Linked DNA regions of Macaca fascicularis. The protein of the gene in region 2 binds, or shares a complex with, the protein of the main gene of each other region. Links are inferred from orthologs where the notes say so. Each region holds a gene or a part of one and is shown on either strand. Other genes may lie near its edges.

Region 1 (10,708 bases), on a different chromosome or scaffold from region 2:
AATCCTCTATTTCTTCAAAGGCATTGAGAGTGGTTTTGCTGTTGTTCCTGGAAGAATCTTGGATTTTGTTGAAATCTGCTTTTTAAAAAATATATATTTTAGAAATAGATCACTCTGCATAATGTTTTTTTTTGTCTTTTGTTTTTTTCTCCTTGTCTTTTTTTTTTTTTTTTTTGAGATGGAGTTTCACTCTTGTCACCCAGGCTGGAGTGCAGTGGTGCGATCTCAGCTCATTGCAACCTCCACCTCCCAGGTTCAAGCAATTCTCCTGACTCAGCCTCCCGAGTAGCTGGGATTATAGGCACCCACCACCACGTTCAGCTAATTTTTGTATCTTTAGTAGAGACGGGGTTTTGCCATGTTGGCCAGGCTAGTCTCAAACCCCTGATCTCAGGTGAGTCACCCGACTCGGCCTCCCAAAGTGCTGGGATTACAGGTGCGAGCCACCGTGCCCGGTCTGCATGGTGTGTTTCTATGGCTTAGGGCTACACCGTTTTAAAAGTCATGCCAACTAGAGTTCTAAAAGTCAGAGCTGGAAGAGACCTAAGCAGCATTTCCATTCAACCCTCCCATTTGACAGATGAGGAAAGTCAGGACCCTTAGATTTGATCTGCCCAAGGTTACGTGGTCTGAGACAGGAGTGGACACCATGTCACCTCACAGCAACAGTTACCTGTTCGTCTTACAGGCCCCGGGTCTTCGTTAAGGAAGGAGACGTGCGTCTTCCATTCAGTCCACTTCACCTCATTGATCCTGCAAGTGGGATCATCATTCTTACTATTTCACCAGTGCCTCACTGAGTGCAAACAAATAACCCTGGTTTGGGACGTCCTGGTGTCTACACAGCTCCCCTTCTGTCTGTCCTGGAGATCAGGAGCACCCCTGACCCCAGTGGTCACACTAGCGTTGTTGGAGTTTGAACTCTATCCCCATCTCCATGTCCCCAGGCCTCAGAGAATCAGTTCTCCTTCCACTGTAGGGAACTCAGAAATCCTGTAAGTTGCTCAGACAGGTATAAAGGATCCAACTTCAGACAACAGCAGCTGTGCCTGACTGGTGACAGCCCAAGGGGAAGCGGGGACAGACAGGGAGGGCCCAGGCCGCGAGGGTGTGAAGATTAAACTCCAAGTGTAGCTGGGGTTGAGGAGGCACGAAGAGCCTATGGTTAGGGTCTATGCCCTAACAAGAGTGGGTGGCGTCTGAGGTGTTAGAATACAACCATAGGCATTGATGTGACTTAAATTCACATCCAGAGGTCTCTAGAGTGAGGGTGGCAACATCAGAAATGTTCGTTAGGGTAATCATTGCAGTCAGAAATGAAGCTTTCCAGGGGGTGGGGTTTCAGTCAGAGAAGTGAGTTAAGGTCATACTTAAAGAAGGTGGTCCGTGGGCTCAGGCAGCTGGGTCAGGGTAGGAGGAGGTGGGCTTATCAGAAAAGGTGGTCATGGAACCGGGCGCGGTGGCTCACGCCTGTAATCCCAGCACATTGGGAGGCCAAGGGGGGGTGGATCACTTGAGGCCAGGAGTTCAAGACCAGCCTGGCTAACACGATGAAACTCCGTCTCTACTAAAAATACAAAAATTATCCAAGCGTGGTGGCGTGTGCCTGTAGTCCCAGCTACTGGGGAGGCTGAGGCGTAAGAATCGCTTGAACTGGGGAGGCCAAGGTTACGGTGAGCAGAGATCGCACCACTGCACTCCAGCCTGGAACTTCATTTAGAAAGAAAGAAAGAGAGAGAGAGAGAGAGAGAGAGAGAGAGAGAGAGAGAGAGAGAGAGAGGAGGGAGGGAGGGAGGGAGGGAAGGAGGAAAGGAAGGAAGGAAGGAAGGAAGGAAGGAAGGAAGGAAGGAAGGAAGGAAGGAAGGAAGGAAGGAAGGAGAAAAGGTGGTCATGGGATAAGTAAGGACTTTAAAAAAAAAAAAAATCAAAAAGCCAGAGATCTGTCAAAGTAGCCATGTCACTTTCCATCTGCCAGGGGCAAAATGGGACTCAAGTCACCTGGGGTCACAGGAACTCACACAGGTAAACAGCAGGAAAAGGAGTGCCAAGCAGGCAGATCTTCCCTAAACCAGATAGCAAACAGAGAGAGACCTCGGAGGCACCTTCAAAAAGGCAGAGAGAGGGGCTGGGCGTGGTAGCTCACGCCTGTAATCCCAGCACTTTGGGAGGCCGAGGTGGGTGGATGACCTGAGGTCAGGAGTTCGAGACCAGCCTGACCAATGTGGTGAAACTCTGCCTCTACTAAAAATACAAAATTAGCTGGGTGTGGTGGCACATGCCGGTAATCCCAGCTACTCAGAGGCTGAAGCAGGAGAATTGCTTGAACACAGGAAGCAGAGGTTGCAGTGAGCCAAGATCGTGCCATTGTACTCCAGCCCGGGCAACAAGAGCAAAACTCTGTCTCAAAAACAGAAAAAAAAGAAAAAAAAAAAGCAGGGAGGGGAGCCACTGTTGGCAGTCTCCTTCTCTTTCTCTTCTGAAGCTCGGGAACCCCCATCCCAGGGCCCTATAACCCCATAAGCAAATTCCTTCTTCCGAGGAGGCCACTGGGAGAGACAGCAGCTGTGGTTATGGTGAGCAAGCAGCGGCACCGTTTCTCTAACATCTTGTCACTGACCTGCCCCTCTCTGCCCACCCCAAAGACCACAGCCCCAGGGCCCTTCCCCCTTGGTTACCGCAAACACAGTCGGAAATCTTCCTCGGCCACTCGGCACAGCTCTCCCATCCGGAATCTGCTCCTCAGCCATTCTGGTAACATTTTCTCAAACTCCAAGATGGTCCTGGCTCTCTGGGGACATAAGCAAGTCTAAGGAGTAGGCATTCACACTCACAAGCACACACAAGTGCACACACACTGTCAGTGAGCCCACTCCCCCCTCGCCCCATGCTTAACGGATCGGAAGGGTTTGGCTGATCTACAGAATTCAAAGACAAAAAGCAGGCCAGGCGCGGTGGCTCACACCTGTAATCCTAACACTTTGGGAGGCCAAGGCAGGTGGATCACCTGAGGTTAGGAGTTCAAGGCCAGCCTGGCCAACATGGTGAAACCCTGTCTGTACTAAAAACACAAAAATTAGCTGGGCCTGCGTTAGACGTCTGTAATCCCAGCTCTCAGGAGGCTGAGGCAGGAGAATCACTTGAACCCAGGGGTTGAAGGTTGCAGTGAGCTGAGATCCCTCCACTGCACTCCAGCCTGGGCGACAGAGCGACACTCCACGATATAAATAGTATTTCTGAAAGCCCAGGAGCTTCCTATCTGACAGGGCTGAGGTCCTGGAATCCCATGGCAAAGGACCATTCGAACATCATTCAGTCCCACCCCCTCCCAGGCTTGGAACCTCTCTGCTGTTTCCTGGCCATAATTTTTCCAGTCTCTCTTGAGTAGTATCAACAAACCAATTAAGAGGGCCTTGGCCAGGTACAGTGGCTCACACCTGTAATCCCAGCACTTTGGGAGGCTGAGGCAGGTGAATCGCTTTGAGCTCAGGAGTATGAGGCCACCCTGAGCAACATGGTGAAACCCCATCTTTACAAAAAAAATACAAAAATGACCCAGGTGTGGTGGCGCGTGCCTGTAATCCCAGCTATTTGGGAGGCTAAGGTGGGAGAATCGCTTGAGCCCGGGAGGCAGAGGTTGCAGTGAGCTGATATCACGCCACTGCACTCCAGCCTGGGCGACAGAGCAAGACCCTGTCTCAAAAAAAAAAAAAAAAAAAAAAAGGAGGGCCTTAATAATGAGAAACTTCCATGTGTCGCATCAAAGTTTTTCTCCCTGTAGCACCCCCATGTACCTCTGCCTTCTGGGACCACAGAAGGGGTCTGCTCCCTGTTTCACAGGTTGCTCTGTAGATATCTGAAGGCACTCTCACCTTTATCAATAAGCATTTCTTTTTCTGTTTTTGAGACAGAGTTTTCGCTCTGTCACCCAGGCTGGAGTGCAATGGCATGATCTCGACTCACTGCAACCTCCACCTCCTGGGTTCAAGCGATTCTCCTGCCTCAGCCTCCTGAGTAGCTGGGATTACAGGCGCCCACTACCACACCCGGCAAGTTTTTGTATTTTTAGTAGAGATGAGGTTTCACCAGGTTGGCCAAGCTGGTCTCAAATTCTTGACCTCAGGTGATCCACCTGCCTCAGCCTTCCAAAGTACTAAGATTACAGGGGTGAGCCACCATGCCTGGCCGCCAACAACTATTTCTTAAGAGGCAGTCTCCAGTCCTCTCCCAAACCTGGTTACCACCTCGGGACCCATCCTATGCATTGGTTTCCTCAGCACGTAAGAAGTGTTCAGGCCAGGATAGAATAGAGCAGAACTGTCACCTCCATTGTCCTAGGCGCTGTACTCCTCTTAATACAACCTAAGGTCATACTTCAACATCCATCAATCACACTGTCAACCCTGAGCACAGCACCCCTGTAAGCCTGAGTTTTTCTACACATGCCGTTGCACAGCCACACTTCGTAGACCCTACACTCAAAGAACCTAGGCTAAGGCTTCCTCAATCCTGGCCACACACTGAGCAGCTTGTGCAGATTCTCAGGCCCCACCACAGACCCACTGGTGCTGACAGTAGTCAATGACCATGTGCTGAACTGAATCCCATGGAGGCCCCCACACTGGGGTCTCCACCTAGACTCACCTGCAGGCGCCAGATACGCTCGCTCTCCTTGGAGACGTTCTCCACAGTCTCGCCCATCAGGGCAATGAGCATGTTGAGGAGCAGAACGAAGGTGAGGATGACGTAGGTGATGAGCAGGAACAGAAAGAGAATGGGATACTTGGAGTTCTGCTGGATGTTCAGGTCACCCAGGCCGATGGTGAGCTTGAAGAGTTCCAGCACCGCGTCGCTGAAGCTGCCGTAGGAGCTGCAGTCCTTGTTGTCTTTGGGACACTTCTCGATCAGTGAGGCCAGGGCTAGGGGAACATAACAGGGTGCTCTCCTCAGCTCTCCGCCTGGTGAATTACTCTACAAGCTTGCGTGTATTTGCCCACACGACAAGCCTGCTGCCTCCTTCTCTCTGGCCATTAAATCCCATCTCCAGCTTCAGGTCCTCCCAAAGCCTCATCAGGCTGGCTTCTCTGCCCTGGCCTCCTGCAGAAAGCCCTTCCACCTAACAAAGCCCAGAGTCTTCTCTCCTTCCTCTACCCCACAGTCGGCCCTTGATCACTTCCAGCCTTGCAGAGTTGCTAATTATAATCCACGTGTGTGTCCCTGGCTCCCCAGCTAGTCTTTGAGCTCCTGACTTCCTCTAGCCTGAGTCATTTCCCTCAAGGCTGTAAGATCCTGAGTCTCCTCCTAATGCTCTGTTGTGAGTTCCCCATGAGCAAGACCAGGCTCACACTTCCCTTCTTTCCAACACACCACAATAGAGGTTCACTGCTGGATGGATGGATGGATGGATGGATGGATGGATGGATGGATATGGATGGATGGATGGATGGATGGATGATTAGATGGATGATTGCATGGATGAATGAATGGATGGATGGATGGATGAGTGATTAGATGGATGGATAGATAGATGATTGGATAGATGGAGGGAGGGAGGGACGGATGGATGGATGATTGGATAGATGGATGGATGGATGGATACGGATGGATGGATGGATGATTAGATGGATGATTGCATGGATGAATGAATGGATGGATGGATGGATGATTGGATGGATGGATGGATAGATGATTGGATGGATGGAGGGATGGATAGATGGATGATTAGATGGATGGATGGATTGATGGATGGATGATTAGATGGATGGATGAATGGATGGATGGATGATTGGATGGATGGATAGATGGATGGATGGATGGATGGATGGATGGATGGATGGATGGATGGATGGATAGATGGATGGATAGATGGATAGATAGGTGGATGAGCAAATTAAATGAGAGAGTAAATAGATGGATTAATAAACAAGCAGGTGAAGGAGCAAATAAATAAGCAAATTGTGACCCAGAAAAGGTACCAGACAGATGGACACAGCTACCTAATTTCAAATGTCAATGGTCACTGAAGAAAAGAAAAAAAAGCAACTGGTATGTGGGGGGAAACGATCTCTCTATGCAGAGCTTAGAAATACAACCAGATGGTGCTGTTCCCTCTGTCGTACATGGAGAGATTTTAAGAGGGGGGGCTCCTTCCTGGTCCCAGCAGACCAGAGAGGCTCTCACAGTTATATCTAAAGCAAACTGTGAGAGCAACATGATGTGAAACCCAAAGGAAGTTGCCTCAGGGCATTACTTTGCTCCTACTTTGCAAAGACCAAGAGTCGAGTTTCTGTGGACTTTAGTTTCCCCATCTGTAAAATGAGGCTGAAAACACTTGCAGGACCTGTCTTAGGTCATGAGGGCCACATAAGCAATGAATGGGAAAGCCAGAGGTGTACACCACACAGTGAAGCTGGATTATGAGTGGCTGGCCTGGTTCAAATTCCGGAGTCTCTAAGCCTCAGCTATCTTATGATCGGGGCGACGACTCCCACTTGATCAAGTTGTTGAGAGAAGTAAAAAGGTAATGCTTGGAAAATGCCAAGCTTGGCAGGTGCCCCACTGGTAGCTGGTCTAATTGCTGCTGAGGCCACCATGTGCTTTGTCATTTTGACATCTGAATAAAGTGTTTATAAATGTGGGAGTTACTATCATTTATAAATCAATTACCTACTCCAAATCCAAGCAAAAAAACGATATATACGAACAAGAACTTCAAAACATCATGCAAAATGACCTACAAAGAAATAAACATAATTCAAGAGTAAGATATAAGCACATATTCACGGTCCCCTGATCTTCCTGCTTCCCACCCTCTCCCACCTCCCCCCTAACCATCTCCTCACTCACTTAGGCCACTCTCCCTTCCCCCAGCCAAATCCTCCTGATGCTCCAACACTCAGCTCTGAATCCCACCTCCTCCAGGAAGCCTTCTGTTTCTGCTCTAGCCCCAGGTTCTCTTCTCCCTGTGATTCACCCTGTGCCTTTCACCATAGGGTCTCACATCTGGAAGCCTCACATTCCTGGGGGCAGTGGCATGCTGGAGCCAGCTCACAACAGCTCGCAATAGCTGTTAACTTCTCATGAAGCTTGTGAGCTGGTTGTTAAACACAGCCATTATTCAGAACTAAATCAAACTTTCAGTTATACGATGAATAAGTTCTGGGATCTAATGGACAGCATGATGGCTGTAGTTAATACTGTGTTGTGGATTAGAAATTTGCTAAGAGAATAGATCACAAATGTTCTCACCCCACAAAGAAATGGCAACTATGTGAGGCGATGGGTATGTTAACTAATTTGAAATTGGGAATCATTTCATAATATATACCTATATCAAATCCTCACATTGTATATCTTAAATTTATACAATTATATATGTCAACTATACCTCAATAAAGTTGGGGATAAGGCCGGGCGCAGAGGCTCATGTCTGTAATCCTAGTACTTTGGGAGGCCAAGGCGGGCGGATCATGAGGTCAGGAGATCAAGACCATCCTGGCTAACACAGTGAAATTCTGTCTCTACTAAAAATACAAAAAATTAGCCGGGTGTGGTGGTGGCACCTGTAGTCCCAGCTACTCAGGAGGCTGAGGCAGGAGAATGGGGTGAACCCGGGAGGCGGAGCTTGCTGTGAGCTGAGATTGTGCCACTGCACTCCAGCCTGGGCGACAGAGCAAGACTCCATCTCAAAAAAAAAAAAAAAGAAAAAAGAAAAAAAAGTTGAGGATAAATTATTATTTGTATTGCCAAAAAATTAAACCATATAAAACTTACAATTAAATAAAGTAAGTTATATTTAAAACAGAGACAAGCCGGGCGCAATGACTCAAGCCTATAATCCCAACACTTGGAGAGGCCGAGGTGGGTGGATCGCCTGAGGTCAGGAGTTGGAGGCCAGCCTGGCCAACATGGCAAAACCCCGTCTCTACTAAAAATACAAAAATACAAAAAAAAAAAAAAAATACAAAGGTGGCACTCACCTTTGATCCCAGCTACTCCAGAGGCTGAGGAAGGAGAATTGCTTGAACCCAGGAGGAAGAGGTTGCAAGGAGCCTAGATCGTGCCACTGCACTCCAGCCTGGGAGGCAGAGCAAGACTCCATCTCAAAAAATTAATTAATTAATTTAATTAAATAAAACAAAGACAATAAATGTTCAAAACTCATCCCTGTCTAGTTATTTCACTATATTTACAATTGTGTGTGCTTTTGAGGTTACTTATCTCTATGATAGCCATATGGCGGGAATTCTAGAGTGGCGTGGATCTGCATGTTTCTCCCTAACTCCACGTCCAGTAACATAATGTTGGTAGCTGGAAACTGGCCCTGGGAGGAGAACAGTAGTCTGCCCTTCTCTTCGATTTCACTTTCTGCAGTTTTGGTTGCCTGTGGTCAACTAAGACCCAGAAATCTTACACACAATACAATATTCTGAAAGAGAGAGACAACACTCACCTACTTTTATTACAGTGTATTGTTATCGTTGTTCTGTTAGTTATTGCCATTAATATCTCTGTGCCTAATTTATAAAATACATTTTATAAATTCCACATAGCCAGTTGAGTCTTAAAATCATTTGTTGCTTCCCCCCACCCGCCCCCAGCACTTTGGGAGGCCGAGGCAGGCGGATCACCTGAGGTCAAGAGTTGGAGACCAGCCTGGCCAACATGGTGAAACCCCGTCTCTACTAAAAATACAAAAATTAGCTGGGCCTGGTGGCGCACACCTGTAGTCCCAGCACACCTGTAGTCCCGCTGGGGCGGGAGAATTGCTTGAGCCCGGGAGGCAGAGGTTGCAGTGAGCCAAGATCGCACTATTGCACTCCAGCCTGGGTGACAGAGCGAGACTCAGTCACAAAAAAAAAAAAAAAAGCAAAAAAGTATTCTAAGACTCAACTGGCTAAGTGAAATTTACAATAAACTGTATTGTATAGTATATTTTCATTATTTGCATAGATGTATATGTATAGGAAAAAACAGCATATTATATAGGGTTTGGTACTATCTGCAGTTTCAGGCATTCATGGGGGGTCTTCGAACATTTTCCCCAAGAATAAGGCGGGGCTACTGTATTTACATCATGAAAATTAGTAAATGCCACAAATCAGAGATTGATTGACTCATTGTTTTGTTGATATCTAGATCTAAATGATTTAAGACAGTAATGGAGAAACTATTAATCCAGATCAAATTTAAAATGTGTTCTGTCCACAGCCTTTACATTGTGTATAGCACAAAAATACCAACAGAATATTCTTCTGATATTTGCAAACTAGTATCCAATTCAGCAAAGAAGTTGCTCACATCATTGATAAACAAGTAAAGTTCAACATAAATCTTAATTGTTTTACTTTAATCACTGCTTATAAAGAAAAATCTCAACCAACATTCATATCTGAACAGCACTCTTCTGTCAATTGCAACCAAAAGTTGACAACAAAAACTAGAATTCAATAAAAAGCAACAAATAGGCCGGACGCAGTGGTTCACGCCTGTAATCCTAACACTTTGGGAGGCCGAGGCGGGTGGATCACCTGTTCAGGAGTTTGAGACAATCCTGGCCAACATGGTGAAATCCCATCTCCACTAAAAATACAAAAAAAGCTGGGCGCGGTGGCTCAAGCCTGTAATCCCAGCACTTTGGGAGGCCGAGACGGGCGGATCACAAGGTCAGGAGATCGAGACCATCCTGGCTAACACGTTGAAACCCCGTCTCTACTAAAAAATACAAAAAGCTAGCCGGGCGAGGTGGCGGGCGCCTGTAGTCCCAGCTACTCGGGAGGCTGAGGCAGGAGAATGGCGTAAACCCGGGAGGCGGAGCTTGCAGTGAGCTGAGATCCGGCTACTGCACTCCAGCCCGGGCGACAGAGCGAGACTCCGTCTCAAAAAAATAAATAAATAAATAAAATAAAAATAAAAATAAAAATACAAAAATTATCCAGGCATGGTGGTGCATGCCTGTGATCCCAGCTACTCTGGAGGCTGAGGCAGGAGAATTGCTTGAACCCAGGAGGAAGAGGTTGCAGTGAGCCAAGATCGCACCACTGCACTCCAGCCTGGGCAGCAGAGCGAGACTCAGTCTCAAAAAAAAAAAAAAAAAAAAAAAAAAGCAACAAATTATTCTAAGACTCAACTGGCTACGTGGAATTTACAATAAACTGTATTGTATATTTTCATTATTTTCAAATTGCGTGATACATATCCTTTACATAGTAAACTGTATGATAAGTGTATGTGTATACGTACATACACGTATATATATACATATTCCACCCCCACACACACACACACACAACACACACACACACACACAGAGCGGTTGTTAAATGTTTACCAGCACACCACTGCCCAGGAGTGAGAACATTCCTCCACGAAGTGTACCCCTCCCCAGCGCCCCACAAGCCTGGGGGATTTAAGGTCTGGACACGTAAAGCCTGACGGAAAGCAAAGGGAGCGCATGGCATTCGGGAGAAAGAGCAAGTGACCTGCCCCTCTTCCTCTCCAGATCTCAGTTTCCCCATCTGAAAAAGGGCCCTCCCGCCGGCACAGCTCCCAACGCACCTTCTGGATCATGACGCTGTACATGCCCATGGACTGGAACCCCCTCGTGTAGTAGAGCATGTTAGCCCAGCCCAGGGCCATGGCCAGCACGAGGCAGGCGAGGTACTCTTTGTAGGCAAACAAGTACAAGAAGACAGACAGTATCACAAGCACA
Region 2 (10,708 bases):
TTGAAATCTATTTATACTTGAACTACACACTATTACACCTTTTTATTATTTCTATTTATCGGGTTTATCAGAGATTTTAATCATCCTGAGAATTTGATCAACCAGAAAGAATTTACTTATTTCTGGCTATTCTCAAACTTGCAATCTCTCCTTTCTTGCTTCTACTTTTATTCTCCATATTGCCAATAAATATAATTTTTTAAAAAGCTACTGATGTAATTTTCTGGGTTAAAATATTCTAAAATCTTCCAATTGTCAATAAACTAAACCTGAAATTCCTTATCATAGCATAAATTATTTTCACAGTTATACCTAATGTTCTCTTTCAGTTTTGGCCTTTATCACAACAATCCCAGGCACAGTTACATTCTTTTGTGTCCTTACATATCTTTGGGTGTTTGCTGTACTGTAAATTTCTGTCCAATGTCATTATGAAGAGTTGCCAGCTATCTCTATTGTCCTCCTACAATTATTTGCAAAGTCTCATCCCATTACATTTTTCCATCTTTGCCTTCTCTTTAGCATAAGTAGATATCAGAAATTCTTAAAAACAAGAGAGTTAGGGAATTGTAAATTAAAACAACGAGAAGTCACTCTACACCTATTAGAGTGGCTAAAATTAAGAACTCTGACAACAAATTTATGGCAAGGGCAAAGAACAATAGAAACTTTCATTTATTGCTTGTGAGAATACAAAATGGCACAGTCACTTTGGTAGGCAATTTGGCAGTTTCTCACAAAACTAAATATATTCCTACCCAATGATCTGATGATTGAATTCATTGATATTTATCCGAATGATTTAATAACTCTATCCACACAAAAGTGGACTCATACATTTCCTTCAATGCAAAATATATGTATATTGTGGGCTGGGTGCAGTGGCTCACTCCTGTAATCCCAGCACTTTGAAAGGCTGAGGCGGTTGAATTGCGTGAGCTCAAAAGTTAGAGACCAGCCTCACCAGGTTAAATATACGTATATTATTGTGGGATTTTTCTTAAATGGAGTTGATATTTCAGGTGTATGTTTCCTTCCTTCTCTCCATACTTGCCTGTGTTAAATTCCTAATCTAGTGGAAACTTTTGAGTTGTAAGACTTTTATGACATTTCTGTTTCCCTGCCTATCATGGCAATTGGGTGCTTCTTGCACCTATAAACAGGGGTGGGAAATATCTGCAGAAAATCAACAAAAATGCTTGATCTGTAGTCCCTAGAGTGTGTAAGACTTAAGGAATAGTAGTATCTGACTCATACCTAGAAAACTCTAAAGCTGGTTGGAGCTGCCAAAGAAGATTGGTGGGCTCCAGTAGACTCAGGGCCAGGATGGTTACAGGACTTATCACAAAAAGAGAGAGAGAGAATAATTCATATTAAATCCAACAATTTATAAAGAGGATAATATGTTATGACCAACTGAATTGATACCAGCAATGCAATGATAGTTCAACATTTGAAAATGAATCAGTGTTACTCAGTATGAAAATCATGTAACCCTTTCAATGATGCTGGAAAAGCCTATGACAGTATTTAGTATTTATTCATAATTTATTATGAACTTTTAAGTTCTTGGCAAACTAGGAAGAAATAGAAACTTGCTTAGTCTGATAAAGACATTTACTGAAAACCCATGCCAACAAAGTGTTTAATGGTGATAGATTGAATGCTTTTCCCCTAAAATCATTACAAGGCAAGGATGTCTACTTTCAACAATTAGTGTTAAACAACAATTTAGTGTTAAATTGGAGGTTTCAACCTGTGTAATATGGTAGGAAGCCAAAATTAAAACGTATTTAATAAAAAGGAATAAATAAAACAGACTCTCTTGTAGATGGCATGGATGTCAACATAGAAAATCTTAATCTACAGAAAAGGCACTAGAATTGATAAACAAATTACAGTGATATCAAATGTCATATTTTTCAGAAGTTGTAACTCAGTTGGGTAAGTAATTTGACAAATACCATCTTTCTTCAAACTTTAGGAGCATTTAGGAGTTAGATGTCTTTTCTTCATAAATATTTGTCAACTAGAACAGATTATGTACCACATAGTCTGCACTTACATATACACAGTTCATATCTTAAACCTTTTAATTGAAGTTAAATCTCTCAGGATCATGTTTTAAACATACGTAAAACTTACAATTCAACCCAAAGAAATGAAAACCCAAATCTGTAAAAAGTATTTGTTTTTATTTTTCAGTATGCTTCATTTAAAAAAGTATGGTTTTATTAGTAGTACATTAATTAACTGAAAGAACGAAGTGACAAATTTTTGTCACAGATATTAATTTACATTTTACAAACATCCACCAAAACAATTAAAAATGAAATAAATATATTTACATTTTATATTTCTGGTATTTTCATTACATTTTAATGTATATAAAATATATAACATTTATAATATTTTATTTGCAAAAGCAAATTCAAATGTGCAAATAAGTGGCATTATGATTTTAAAGTATTCAGTAGAAGAATAAACAATAAAGAACAAATTTAGAGGTATGAATAAAGCAATTTCTTAAGGAGAAATTATAAGCACAGCAGTATTAATAGTAGCAAAATGTGTCTTATTAATATCCAAACGTCTACACTTACCTTAAAAAGTTAAGCACAAGATCATCCTTGTACTTTTAAAGCTTCTCCACACTGCTGATTTCTAGCAGTAATTCTAAATTATTGTTAGGATAATTAATTTTTCTCAGTAATAAATCAAGCTTTTCTTAAATCCAGCATTCAACATAGACAAAGTTCATGATCAAGCTTCAGCACTGTAAATGAGGGAAATGTTGATCTATAAACTAATGAACCCAAAGGAACATTTCTCTCCTTGCATGGCTAATACGGACTCGACATTTATTTTCAAGTAATTGCTTTCTTTTTCTTGCTGAAGGACAGCTTTATGAGAGAAGATTTCAAAATTATAAGTTGGTACACGTCTGAAATATGGGCAAGAAATAATTACCTGATTATCCTCCCATTTTAAAAAAGCTGGATAAGTGTGTTGGGGTATACATTACACATACACTAACTATTAAATTATTTTTTAAATAAATACTTGTTGCAATATAACAAATTATAAATGCCCTTTCTGTAATATGCTTCAGCTTAGATGAATTGTTATTCTTTATCAGGCAAAAGACATTGTTATAGTAGTTAGCAGTTTTCAGATGACTTTGAACTTCATTCTCTGACCTAAATAACAATATTCCCCATTAAGCTTGTGTTATGTACACCATAATGAACCATTTAATGATAACACACACACACACACACACACACTCACACATACACACATAGACACACACCCAATCACACATACATGCTCACATACACCAAGGCACTGGAGGGGTTAACACATTAGCGTTTTGCTGTTAAAATGTGCTCAATGTACAAACTAGGATTTTGTGAATAAATCTCATACATGTAAACCCAAATTATATGAGAGAGATAAATTTATATGTGTTTTTGTTCATTTCTAAGCTTTCTCATTCAAGTAGTCCAAGATATAACAAATGCCAACGACTAATCATCACATTGTAAAGAAAACATTAAACACTAATTGTTAAACTGATGAAAATGAGAATAGTATTTTGTTACTTTTTGACTGTTGTACTAATCATGTTAAATAAAAATCACGGTTTATGTTTTTTTATCAATAGTATCAAAAATAATCACAATGGTATTGTCATAAGTTTTTAATCAAACTGCATTTTACAACTTAATTTAATGTATATTAAATGTATGTACACAAAACATATTCTTTTAATATAATTAATGGTCAGCATTTGACTATATTTATATATATACACACATATATGCATATATATATGCATATGTACGTGTGTGTGTATTCTCCGAGGAGATATATATTTATACATATCTAATTGTGCACCTTTTCCTTCATAACATACATGAGCATAGACTAAATTTTCATAATATCAAAAAAATATAGCTAATAATAGATTTTTTAAATTTTGAAATTGAATGTTTACAAAATTTCACAATTTTTAAATCATTCTATTACAGGTAGGTAAACTATTGAAACTTTTTTCTTTTGCTTATGGATAATTAGCCCACGTCATATTGCCTCAGACCAGATTGTGGACACATTCATGTAACCCCAATATGGGGAACACTGAGATTCAGCTGTGGTTGGAAGCAGAAGTTCTACAATGAACCACCTGCCACAGCTGAAAATTCTAAGTTGGATGTATCCCACTGCTTTTTCTTCGTAAGTTCAGAAGTGGCCTACTACTGAAGCCTGCTTTTGGTGGGCTCCAATTTTACAATGACTGTTGTGTTTGATCAATATAGTGTGCAATCATTCTAAAGTTCTATACTAATTACAAATGTGTACTTAGTTTTATGGTCAAAATACATTACATTGAAACTGTTTATTGCAATTTGTCACAGTTCTTTGGACAAGGTATGTTAGACTCAGTTTAACATTTTCTCAGGGACAATTCTAAACCCTCACTTTTTCTTTTCAATTTTAGGTGTTTACAAATTAATCTGATGCAAAATAAATTAATGAATCATAATGAGTATAAAAACAACTAGATATTAATTTTTAAAATTAATAAATCTGTCCTTTATAGAAATCATTTTGTTTCCTTCTTGAGTGATTTTTAAAAACATATTTGGAAAAAAAGAAAATTGAATCAATTTATTAGATACTTGGTTATATCCACAAGGACACATGTAATACTTGGTTTACCTGGGAGCATGTGTACCAATAAACAAAGTTTTGTTTTGTTATTTCTTACATACACAGTTGACTTTTAAAAATATCTCAAAAAAGCTGTACTAAAGGACAGAGAATGTTTTCCATATTATACAACTAGTTGTATAATACCTGGAATCTCAGTAAATTGCACACCTCTAAGGCTTTCAAATTTCCCAGCCTTCCACATTTACATTCTTAGGACAAAATATCTAAAATAACCTGCATAGTTGACATTACTTAATCACTTTCCATGAAAAGGGAAGATAAAAATTTTTAACTTTTATCTTTAACTATCACCTTTGTTTCTAATAAAATAGTACTGAAATGGAAAAATGTCATTTAATTAGCATATATAATAGATTTGGGACTGCTTTAGAGGGACATTTTAGTTCATGATTAGCTAGTAGACTTCAGATTACAAAGAATTGCTTCTCACACCATATTTGTTTATATTATTTTCTCTACTAAAGTTTTTTGGTTCACTGAAAATTTATGAAACTTTAATTTGATAATAAATCTTCTTAGGTAAAATATAAATCTATTTAAAACCAAAGAAGAAATGAGAGGTTCATGAAATTTTCCATCACTCATAATTAAATTAATACATTATTGGCATACTTGATTGTTGGCAGCTGATAAGACATTTCAGTAACAGTGATTGAAGGGAGAATAGTCCATTCCACATTGTATCTATCATGGGTCAAAGTAATTATCCTTTCGAAGTTCTTTGGAATATTTACAATAAGATAAAAACAATTGGACTGCCAGTGTCAAATCATGGGATGAGAACACGAGGGCAAATTTACATCAGCAAATTAAAGTACATCCTTCTTTGATGTGATTTTTTTGCATGCTCCTTGCTGATTTATGGTTTTTAACTCTTTTATGTCCCTCATAATATAATGATAGGGCTTTGTTTATGACTCTGCCCAACATGTACTAGTCATACAAAATAATCTAAAATACAGAAGTAATCTTTTAATAAGTATTTTATTTATAAGTAGCTTACTATTTTTATATTACTTACATATTTCTTCAAATAATTCATTTTTGTCTCCACTTTTGGTGAAAGCAATATACTTACTGGTACAAAGCAACTGAACTTTTCATATAGTATGTTTCACAGATGTCATCCAGAATGGAAGTGTTTTTGAGGTTCCACATGACCTTCTTTTTTCTGCCAAAATTTCGATTTGCCTCCACTGCCGACTTGGTGATGTTATGGTTTCTCTAGGGTCTAAATGATGAGTAAATGTGTCCTGCTTATATAGTCATGGTGCGTGTCAATGCAGAGCTCAGTACGTCAAGTTGTATACTTTGCTTTGCTCGTGGTAGCAGAGCTGGCAGCAGCAGAAACAGTAGCTTGATTGCCTAAAAATAGAGGGTCCAAACAAGCTACCTTGGCAGCAAAGAAGGAATGAATGCAGTGAAGAACAGCAAATAAATTAGAAAATTCCAACTCCTGAAAGGGAAAGAGAAACAAGTCAGATAACAAAAAAATTAATGTCTTTAAAAATTTATAATAGCTAGATTTTAAAAAAATTTTCAATACACTTATCTAGAATCTGTGATACCTATCATATGGAAACTAATTTCAAATGTAGACATTTTTGGTCAACATGTAAACATCATAAGTATTGAAAATTTATTTCAATACATGGTGGTGGATAAGAGGTAGGGAGGACTAATCATTCTTATCATCTATGAATGTTGTTTTAGCATTGATGAATATATTTTGCCAAAATTTTACTCCTGATAATGTATAATTAAATATAAACTTGGAAGTACTTTTAAAAGTATTTTTATCTCTTTATACACACATTAGAGGATAAATATGAGTTAGAGCAATTTAAAAGTATTCTTGATTATTGTGTAGAATGAGTTAATATTTGCCATAAGAAACTGAATAAAAAAATTCTAGAAGTAAGGGGATATGAACTCTCGTAACCAGAGGATCCAAATGATTCACTTTCAAAAAATAATTCATGTATTAATTTTAATTGTGGCTGGCTGTTTAATGGTGTATGGGGCATATTTGCTAAAAAAAAATAAATAAACTAGAGCTCACTAATTCATTTTGGATTTTTAGAAATAGGTTTCCCATTAAAATACCAAAGGAAATTTGTAACCCATTTACCAGTGGCAACCAAACTATATATGTGAAAACAGAAAAAAGTTATTTCAAAATATAATTATGTCAAAATAGCTATAAAATCATAAAGCAATGCTCAGAATACATTTAGTAAGATGATGTTGCTAGTATTTTTATTAAAGACCATCAATAATCACATAAACATGTTTTAATTCCAAGGTTATTGAAAAATTAATACATTTATGTTCCTAATGAAATCAATACGATTAACTTATCACAAGGAGGATAACTAGATGGTAATAAAGAATATGAAATTTCTGATAAACTCATTGCTATTTTATTATATGTTTCACTACATATATGCAATAAAGAATATAGAATTATAATTGATATGTACATGACTGACTGTTTACAACTTATATGTGGCAGTGGAAAATATTACAAAATATTCAATACATTATGACACATTGTAACATCTGTCATGTACCAGGCAGCTATTTAAATAAAATAATTCATCTGAGGAGCATTTTCTCAGGTCAGGCAACAGGAGTACAATGAACCATAACATATATTCAGGGGTCTCTATAACATAGAAGAAATAGCTATGCTTTCTTAGTAGCTCCCTTCAAAACTTCAATATTTGATAGTTTCCTTTGTGAAACAGCAACTTGTTCTAGAGAATAGAAGAGGTTATTCATTTATTCTAATTCCCTTAGATGTTTCCACCAAAAAAGTTTTTAGTAACTCCATCATAATGATCTTAGAAGCTTTATTTATATAATAATCCACTTCATTGGCACTAGTCATATGTTATTTGTAAATAAGCAAGTTCTCTTTGCTTTAGCTCATCCTGGAAATCCGCAATTCACCCCATCATGCTTGGTGTAGCCAGGTTATTTCCCAAACAAATTTTGAATACTTTCTCTATTATCCCAAATTAAATCCACGTGATGTGAAAGGTTTGGAAATTTTGGGAAAATGTAAAATGTTCTTGCGCGTTGTTAAAAAATAAAACAACAACAAAAAAAATAAGCAATTCACTCTTGGTAAGGAGGAGAATATTGTTGAGTGTTACAAATGGGTAAAAATAGTATGGCAAATAGCTTTTTCTTAAAGGTAATTCTACCACCTCTTTATTAAAATAGAGGTTATATTTTGGTTTACCCAAAATAAACAACCCTTAAATATCTAAGTATCCAGGCATCTTTAGAAAAATGAAAATTTTCAATTATTACCACTTTGTCAATTATTTGTCAATAATTTGATATAGATTGACAGTTTAACCTTTTTATACCCGTTTTGAAGGAGTGATAGACAGGAAATAATAGCCGGTGATTAGAAGAGAAAGCAGGAGACCAAGTTGGATCCAAGTTTGGCTTTTCATTCCAATACCCACACATCTTTCCTCTTTCTCAGTGATCAGCCTTGGCAACCATTTCCACTCCTAGGGTGTCAACGATTCCTCTTATGTAAACTCACACTGCTCATTTACTAATTTCTTCTGTGAGTACTAGAACTGCATTCTTACCACCTATCAAACATCCACTGATGATGAGCATCTATCTATCCATCCACTGACAGCTTCCGCCAAGTTACAGACTTACAAGTTTCCCTTGTAAAAAAAAAAAGTCTTATGATTGTCATGATCCCTCAGATATCACTGAATATAAGCTATCTTCAAAACTGTAAAGAGTCATCCATTCAATAAAATACCAAGTCCTTCCTATGCATCCACTCTTTTTTGTTGTTAAAGTATAGCAGTGAATAAAGCAGACAAAAACAAACAAAGAAACAAAACAGTCCTGATGGGACTTACATTCCAGTGACAGGAGACAAAATGTGACTAAGGGCATAAATAAATTAAGGATAATATGCCAGAATATGACAGTTACAATCAAGAAATAAAGTGGAGGAGACAGCAAAGACTACTCAAGGGGCCGTGGGAAAGGAAAATTCATGTTGCCTTGTATATGGAACTTGAAAGGGACAAAGGAGTGAGCCATTTCCATGTTTGTGGGGAAATATTCCAGACACAAGAATTATAATTTTAAAGGCCCAGAGGTAGGGATGTTCCAGGAGAGTCTGAAGAAAAGCAAGGGCTGTTTTGTCTGAAATGGAATGAATTAAGGAGTACTTAGCAGACAATGAGATCAAAGAATACACTTAGTACGCTGCATGAGCCTTTATGAGTTTTACTATGAGCGACATGGGAAACCATGGGAAATTTTTGAGCAGATGAGTGACAAGCATTGACATAACTCAGAAAATGATGATTCTGGTTAGACTATTGAGAATAAGCTTTATGATAATTGAATTGAAAGAAGGAGGAGAAGTTACAAAGTTTCTATATGGAAATGGTTTGAATTTGGAAGTAGTTTTCAATAACTGGAAAAAAAGTGTTGCTCTGCAAATGGAGGAATTGTGGGAAAAGCAGGTTTGGAAGTAGAGATCAAGATTTTGGTTTCGGGCATGATGCATCTGAACGCATATTAGATATACAGGTGATACGTGGAGAACTGCATATATTAGTGTGGATCTAAGGGAACAATTAGAGTTTAGAATAGAAGTTCAGCTTCTGTCAGCACATAGATGGTAGGTAAAACACTGTGGTCTGGATGAGGAGATCAAGGTGTGCAGGATAGGTAGAAAAAATGACTGAGGACTCATCCCTGCGATTCCACAGTATAAAAATGTAAGAAAGATGGAGAAGAACCAGCAAAGAAGGAATAGCTGTAGTTGTGAAGAAAGTGAGAGTAAAAACCAGGAGTCTTGTAAAATGACAGCTGGAAATCGACCATTGAATTTAGCAACACAGAGGCCATTTTAATTCTTTACAAGAGTCCTTTTGTGGAGAAGTGGAAACAAAAACTTCACAGGAATGACTTAATGAGAGCTTGGGTTTGAAGGTGTTAGAGTTACTACAGGTAAGTCTACCACAGGCAGCTTCTCTTTGAAGAAGAAATCCTTCTTTTCCTTTTAAAAGGGGGCATAGGAATATATCAGTAGGAAATCAAGAATGTTTTTCCAAGGTTTATGAAATTAGTACATATTTGTTGAATTGCTGGCACGAAATAGTTGAGCTCTCAAATCTGAGGACAATTGTAGAAACCGTACTCTTGAGAAGGGTGAGATCTGGTGCAAAAGTAGAGAGGCTGGACATGGATGGAAACCTGGACAATTGATCTGAAGCGGCAGGAGGTAAAGCACAGTATATGGGCACCACTCAAGGAAGGAGGGTAGATTTGGCGGTGTGTAGCTTTCATTCATTCTGTGTTTTAAGTGGGATACAAAGCAAAGTCATATGCTGACAGGATAAAGCAGGAAGTGTTGAGAATTTGGATAAACACTAATTTATAGGTGTTATTTTAGGCACACAATCTGGAATTTATCTTCCTCATTCTGCTTGCTCCTTAAAAGTTTTTAACTCATTTATGCCTGAGACTGCAATTTTTTGAATTTTTGCAATCAGACCTTGGTGATGACCTTGAGAAGCAGAATATAAATAACTCCACATGCTTAGCATTTCAGTAATAGAACGTTAGGCATAAGTGGGTCAATAATCCTTTTTTTTTAATTATTATACTTTAAGTTCTAGGGTGCATGTACACAAAGTGCAGGTTTGTTACATATGTATACATGTGCCTTGTTGGTGTGCTGCACCCATTAACTCGTCATTTACATTAGGTATATCTCCTAATGTTATCCCTCCCCCCTACCCCTCCCCACAATAGGACCCAGTGTGTGGTGCTCCCCTTCCGGTGTCCAAGTGATCTCATTGTTCAATTCCCACCTATGAGTGAGAACATGCAGTGTTTGGTTTTCTGTTCTTGCGATAGTTTGCTAAGAATGATGGTTTCAAGCTGCATCCATGTCACTACAAAG

The links.
Region 1: the proteins of SNTG1 (region 2) and TRPV3 are in contact, whole or in part, in a crystal structure (PDB 7QQN), measured with the Homo sapiens proteins. The link is inferred for Macaca fascicularis from reciprocal best matches to the Homo sapiens genes SNTG1 and TRPV3. Residues at the interface, in NP_001274742.1 of Homo sapiens: Arg62, Gly66, Gly67, Phe68, Gly69, Leu70, Ser71, Ile72, Lys73, Gly74, His78, Ser85, Lys86, His118, Glu119, Val122, Arg126; in NP_659505.1 of Homo sapiens: Pro786, Glu787, Thr788, Ser789, Val790.

Annotation. Positions count from the first base shown.
Region 1 is NC_088390.1:3,553,508-3,564,215, forward strand, and holds part of TRPV3 (spermatogenesis-associated protein 22), read right to left. Parts: coding exon 10,555-10,708; intron 6,731-10,554; coding exon 6,664-6,730; intron 4,917-6,663; coding exon 4,642-4,916; intron 2,789-4,641; coding exon 2,676-2,788; intron 754-2,675; coding exon 674-753; intron 79-673; coding exon of another isoform or gene 1-78. UniProt on the Homo sapiens protein: Non-selective calcium permeant cation channel. It is activated by innocuous (warm) temperatures and shows an increased response at noxious temperatures greater than 39 degrees Celsius. Activation exhibits an outward rectification.
Region 2 is NC_088382.1:60,658,185-60,668,892, reverse strand, and holds the end of SNTG1 (gamma-1-syntrophin), read right to left. Parts: intron 6,197-10,708; coding exon 6,038-6,196; 3' UTR 4,486-6,037; downstream 1-4,485. UniProt on the Homo sapiens protein: Adapter protein that binds to and probably organizes the subcellular localization of a variety of proteins. May link various receptors to the actin cytoskeleton and the dystrophin glycoprotein complex.